Saccharomyces cerevisiae S288C: one gene and its partner. Each later gene encodes a partner of the first gene's protein in a complex. Each region holds a gene or a part of one and is shown in the gene's direction. Other genes may lie near its edges. The genes, in order: RPO26 and RPA49.

Region 1 (3,060 bases):
AATAAGTTAATCGATAATGGTAATAGGAGTAATAGTAACAATAACAATCATAATGGGAATGATGCAGTTGGTGTGATGCATAATGACGAGGATGATCAAGATGATGATCTAGTATTTTTCATGAGTGATATGAACCTTTCTAAAGAAGGTTAAAAATGGTAAAGTTTTATTTTAAAGGGCACAACTAAAGAAAAATAATCAAAAAAAAGGTGAAATAGATATGCAAGAAAAGAAAAAAAAATACAATACTAGTAAACTGAAATAAAAAAGATTAGCCATAATGGATTTGTTTCTCTTTGTTATCGATATTCTTACCTCTTGAAGATCCATGTGTCTATCATTTGAATTGAATATATAATTATATACAGTGAGATATACCAATTGCAGTAACAAAATGGCAAATATGTATATCAGTAATATAATTAGCATATAAAATAAAAAAAAAAAATGCTTATTTGTCACCCGCTGACTGCGTTTCCTTTTGAATTATAAAAGGTTCCTTATGGTTCTGGTCCACTAGCGTTTTATTTTCTTCCTTTTCCTGTAATATTTTTAACTTTAGCTCATGTACTTTGTGCTTGTCTATATGTTTCTCGTATTTTTCCTTTGTCTTGAAAGTCCTAGAACAATTATTGTAAAAGCATCTGTATTTTCTTCCAACGGTATTCAATAAAAGGTTTAGCCCATTTTCACCAGACTCAAGTCGCTTTTCTAAATCCACTTCATTCTGTAAAAACTCTACATTATTGTTTTCGGTAAGTTTTCTCCTTTTCCTCAACCTATTGGAAATCTTCTCTTCATCCTGCTCATTCGAGTGTTTGCTATTCCCCAGTTGAACTCCGTGGTCTTGGACAAGTTGTTGAATATCAGAAATTTTATATTTTAGTTCCAGTGGGATATCTTCTTCCGTATGAATAGACCCATAATGCGTGAGAAGATCATGTTTTCTAGAAAAAGACATATCAGGACATATATGACACTTCCAATTTTTGGTTACTAGTGAGTCGTCATGAATAATCATGTGCATTTGTAAACCATTTTCCCCCACACATGGTTTGCTACAAATAGGACATTTTAATTTAGGATGATCATTTTTTATATGCGATTGCAATTGTGACCATATCCGAAACTCTTTGCAACAACCAGCAAAAGTACATTGGTAAGGATTTTCTACCTCAGGATCGTGATGTTTAGAAATGTGATTTCTTAGCCTATATGGCCTCTGAAAGCTTTTATTGCAGTGTGGACAGGTTAGTTTATGTAAATGAACAGATAAAATATGTGCCCTTAATTGTGGATGCTTGTAGAATCGGAGGTTGCATCCTTCCTCTGGACAAATGAAAGATTTGGTATGCGTTACTTCGTGTCGCTTCAGTTGCTGGCGAGTCGTCACTCCTTTTCCACAATAAGAACATTGGAATGGTTTCGTATCAGAATGCGTATACAAGTGTCTCTCTAAGTGACTCTTTTTAACGAAGGATTTTGCACACTTATCACACTGAAATGCTCTTAAACCCTGATGTACGCTTAATTGGTGTTCAGTCAAAATTGAAGGTCTTGTAAATGCCTTATCACAGCCATCATAGTCACAGAAATATGTCTTTGGCCTATTGCTCGATGAGCTTCTAGTTGATGTTAAACTGTTCAATGATTCTGAACTCTCTGATCGTGATATGGGAATGGTCTCCTGTTTAAGTTCGGCCAGTGGCATTCCTTCATTATTTAGAACCTCTCCTCCCATTTGACAGCGATTTCAACAGTTACTACTGTGCTTAATGCCCTTATTTGATAGTTAGTTCTTCTTATAATAAATAATCATTGTATATTGATTATTCGTATAGTATGATATTTAATTGAAAAAAAAATTTTTTTTTTTTTAAGAATATCATTCAAAGGCATCAATCACAACCTTGAAGAAAGGCTAAAAAGACACATTTTGCAGGTAACAGTGTAAAGATTAAGGCTACAAGTGATCATGTCAGACTACGAGGAGGCGTATGTGCATTCATATTGGAGAAATTGCGTGCTTTAGTTTTAATTATATTTACTAACTTCTATCATTGTGATACAGGTTTAACGACGGTAATGAGAACTTCGAAGATTTTGATGTAGAGCATTTTTCTGATGAGGAGACTTATGAGGAAAAACCTCAATTCAAGGATGGTGAAACAACCGATGCCAACGGTAAGACCATCGTTACTGGTGGTAATGGCCCAGAAGATTTTCAACAGCATGAGCAAATAAGAAGAAAGACACTTAAGGAAAAGGCCATCCCAAAAGACCAAAGAGCAACTACTCCATACATGACCAAATATGAAAGGGCAAGAATTTTAGGTACAAGAGCCCTACAAATTTCCATGAATGCGCCAGTTTTTGTAGATTTAGAAGGTGAAACTGATCCATTGCGTATTGCCATGAAGGAGTTGGCTGAAAAGAAAATTCCTTTGGTTATTAGAAGATATTTACCAGATGGTTCCTTTGAGGACTGGAGTGTGGAGGAACTCATTGTGGATTTGTGATTACACCTGCATTTTCCTTTATGTGTATTTGCTTTGTTTGTATATTATTATAACTATAAAGAACGATTTATTTTGTAATGCAAATAACTGGACGAGAGAACCACGCTATAACCTATTTGGTAATAAAAATGTTTGTATGAATAAAAAAGCTGCTGACTGCTTTCTTTGATATGTGTATATAGAATATTTAATCGGTGATTGAATCTAAGAAAAGCTTACCTCTGAAAGTTCTCTCTTCGGTCGCTTGCTGATTTGTAGTAAACAATTTGAAAAGTTTAGCAAATTCTTCCTCAGGATTTTCAAAACCGGCTTCCTTTAAAGAATCAATGACCTCATTCAAGGGAACGTTTAAATCGTGTCCTCTTCCAATGGCTTTTAAACTTTCTTCCAATTCTTCACGCTCGGGAAACTGCGATAAGTTCTTCCCCATGATAGATAAGAATATGGGAAAGCTTACACCTTCTTCTCCAACTTCCGCGGTACTGGTGTCATTGTCAGGTACCATTTTGGACCATTCCTCATCTGTCAATGTCTTCCCCAA
Region 2 (3,724 bases), on another chromosome or scaffold:
GAATGGACTTTCGATTCACTTTCAACAAAATCAGCCAATAATTCTTTCTCTAAGGGACTAAACTTTTTAGAGATATGACCTGCAGAAGCTGCATCGTTCTTCAATGCTCTAATAGTCTTAAAAAAATTGTTCATGGAGTTTTCAAATGACTTTACTTCATGGATCAAAGATTCCTTGAAATCCAATTGATTGTTCCATTGTACTGAGGCAAAAGCCAATCTTAATTGGCGCGGTGAGAATTTTTTCAAAGCTTCTTGAATGGTAATGAAATTCTTTAAGGATTTAGACATTTTTTGACCCTCAATATGTAAATGGCCCGTATGTAAGAAATAGTTGATCCACTGTTGATTGTCGAAGCGAGCCTCGGATTGAGCCAATTCGTTATCATGGTGAGGAAAGGCCAAATCGATGCCACCTGAATGAATATCGATGTTAGAGCCTAGGATATCACTGGCCATCACAGAACATTCAATATGCCATCCTGGTCTACCCTTACCCCATGGTGATTCCCACTCAGGTTCACCTGCCTTGGAAGCCTTCCATAAAGCAAAATCATTATTCGACTTTTTTCCGTTATCAGCAAAGTTGCTTAAGGACCCTTCACCATCATTAATTAAGTCTAACTGGCCCTTATTCCATGGCTGGCATTTAGCATAGTCATGATTTGGGGATTTGTCAAATTTTAAAGTATCAAAGTACACGGAACCGTCGGAAGTGGCATATGCGTAACCATTATCAATAATTTTTTGAACAAAGTCAATAATTTCTGGAACGTACTCAGAAACACGAGTTGTAACGGTGGGAGGTAGCACGTTTAATGATAACATGTCATCATTGAATTTCTGTTCCCAGTAAGCTGGAAGTTGGCGGAAAATCTCTGGATTGCTAATGGTAGAGCCCAATTCTTTATCCAATAGAGGAACCGTAACGTCCTTGACTTTTTCAAAGGCAACTTCTGCGTCCATGGAATCGCCCTTAGTGATTGATTCAATAGCATTTTGAACTGCGGTGACATGCATAGGGAATTTAGGATTCTCCAATTTTAAAGTTTCAGTATCAGCATTCGATAACCAAGTTTCAAATTCTTCGATAGTTTTGATCTCGCTGCCTTGAATAGTAAAATTTTTGTTGATATATTGGAAAAGTGCGGTTTTGACCTTGTCAACAACAGTGGCGTTGAATTTGGTATCATTTTCTTTGACAAAATTGTCAAATAAATAGTTTTGTCTAGCTCTCAAAATAATTTTATCGTCGATATCAGTAACATTTTGCACAAATTGCACGTCGTAACCAAAATAATCTTGAATAATTCTTCTATTGATATCAATAGAGACATAGTTTCTGGCATGACCCATATGGGAGGCATCGTAAACAGTAGGACCGCAAGAGTACCAAGTGACACCTCTATTGCCAGATTGCGGAATGAATTCAACCTTAGATCTTGTTAAACTGTTGTACAACTTCAACACAGTTTCTTTAGCTTGTGGCGTTGGAACCTTCCATTTGGGCTGCACAATCTTCGGCGTAGACATTATAGTATATCTTCTCAGGGCTTTTATGAAGATATTCATGCATAGAATAAGAACTTGACCGGACACCTAATCACCGACGCCAATTAGCAATACTGTTCTTTTCAATTGATAATGTCTTTTGACTCTTCGCGATGAAAAATGTTTGCGGTCACCCGCGCTGAAAATTTTTTATTGCGATGAGCTGAAATTTTCCATCTCATTTTTAATAGTAAGTATTCTTGCATGAACACTAATGATATTAGGAGGGCTTTTTAAGTTGCTACCACTATTGCAGTCGTTATCAACCTTTTGCACTTTATCTAGTAATGTCCGTGAAAAGGTCTGTTTCTGAAATCGAAATTGAAAGTGTTCAAGATCAACCCTCTGTTGCCGTGGGAAGTTTCTTCAAGGGCTTCCGTGCTCCCAGTGACACTACGTTCGACTTATACAAAAAAAAGAAGTCTGAAAAGGACGAATTCGTATTACACGGTGAAAACGAGAGACTAGAATACGAAGGTTATACTGATTCTTCTTCCCAAGCTTCGAACCAGTATGTTGTGGGCCTATTTAATCCAGAAAAGAAAAGTATTCAACTCTACAAGGCTCCCGTACTTGTTTCCAAAGTTGTATCCAAGTCAAGCAAGAATCTAAGGGGTCCAAAAATAAAAAGTAAGAGTGATACTCGTCCATCTGCTTTGAGAAATGCGTTGGGTGAAGCGTTTGGTACTAAAAAGGCTAAAAAAGCTATTGCAGATCTAGAAAGAAACCGTATTGACTCTGATAAGTTGACTGATTCTGCTATTGACATTGTGGATTCCGTGAGAACTGCATCTAAGGATTTACCAACTCGGGCTCAATTGGATGAAATTACTTCCAACGATAGACCTACTCCATTAGCCAATATCGATGCCACTGATGTAGAACAAATTTACCCAATTGAAAGTATAATACCAAAGAAGGAATTACAGTTTATTCGCGTTTCATCAATTCTGAAAGAAGCGGATAAGGAAAAGAAGTTGGAATTGTTCCCATACCAAAACAATTCCAAGTATGTGGCAAAGAAATTGGACTCTTTGACACAACCTTCACAAATGACCAAATTACAGCTACTATACTACTTATCACTATTACTGGGCGTATACGAAAATAGACGCGTGAATAACAAGACGAAGTTGTTAGAAAGGTTGAACAGTCCTCCTGAAATCTTGGTAGATGGTATCTTAAGCAGATTTACCGTGATAAAGCCTGGACAGTTTGGAAGATCAAAGGATCGCTCCTATTTCATTGACCCACAAAATGAAGATAAAATCTTATGCTACATCTTGGCAATCATAATGCATTTGGATAACTTCATTGTTGAAATCACACCCTTAGCACACGAATTGAACTTGAAACCTTCCAAAGTTGTCAGTTTGTTCAGGGTACTTGGTGCTATTGTCAAAGGTGCCACAGTGGCTCAAGCTGAGGCTTTTGGCATTCCAAAAAGTACTGCAGCTTCTTATAAAATTGCCACTATGAAAGTTCCATTTAAGCTACCTGAAATGACAAGAAGAGGAAGAGGTCCAAGACGTTAGAGTTACCTAGAGGTATATACTGAGCATTTGGTTTGCTCTGGTTTTTTTTTTTGCTAGATGGTTCTATAAAGCAGCAAAATATAAGACGGTCCTCCTGATGAGAGGAAGAGAAAAACAAAAATAACTACATAGATATACGCTATTTTTTCTGAGAAGATACATATGTACAAATAGATATTTTACAATAATTTTAAACTTCGCAATAAATTCAATATTAATTCATAGCGTAGTTCGGCTTTCTAGCACCTTAGTAAGCTGAAATTTAAAAATGTATCAGTTTATTTTTTTCAATAAAGGTAACTTTAAATGAGAAACCAACGTGTTATATAGGTGAAATCATGAATAGCAGTCTGCAAGTTGGCATCGGAATTGATGTAGGTTCATCAAGTGCTAGAATAGGTGTATATAATTACTACAATGATGCGCTGTTAGAAATGGCGCAGGAACCAGTCCCATACTACCAGGATTCTTCAAAGAAGTCATGGAAATTCTGGCAAAAATCAACTGAAATAATTAAAGCCCTTCAAAAGTGTCTTCAGAAACTGAACATTAGAGAATATGAGGTAAAGTCATGTGGTGTTTCTGCAACGTGTTCATTAGCTATTTTCGAAAGGGATCGCACAAGTAACATGCTGATAC

What was found.
Region 2: RPO26 (region 1) and RPA49 share a complex: the UniProt entries of both Saccharomyces cerevisiae proteins name them as parts of the RNA polymerase I (Pol I) complex.

Annotation. Positions count from the first base shown.
Region 1 is NC_001148.4:909,282-912,341, forward strand, and holds RPO26 (DNA-directed RNA polymerase core subunit RPO26), read left to right. Parts: upstream 1-1,975; coding exon 1,976-1,995; intron 1,996-2,071; coding exon 2,072-2,519; downstream 2,520-3,060. Other genes in the region: serine/threonine protein kinase regulatory subunit ATG13, read left to right, coding at 1-153; PZF1 (Pzf1p), read right to left, coding at 452-1,741; MLC2 (Mlc2p), read right to left, coding at 2,707-3,060. UniProt on the Saccharomyces cerevisiae protein: DNA-dependent RNA polymerases catalyze the transcription of DNA into RNA using the four ribonucleoside triphosphates as substrates.
Region 2 is NC_001146.8:180,722-184,445, reverse strand, and holds RPA49 (DNA-directed RNA polymerase I subunit RPA49), read left to right. Parts: upstream 1-1,837; coding exon 1,838-3,085; downstream 3,086-3,724. Other genes in the region: CRS1 (cysteine--tRNA ligase), read right to left, coding at 1-1,571; MPA43 (Mpa43p), read left to right, coding at 3,424-3,724. UniProt on the Saccharomyces cerevisiae protein: DNA-dependent RNA polymerases catalyze the transcription of DNA into RNA using the four ribonucleoside triphosphates as substrates. Component of RNA polymerase I (Pol I) which synthesizes ribosomal RNA precursors.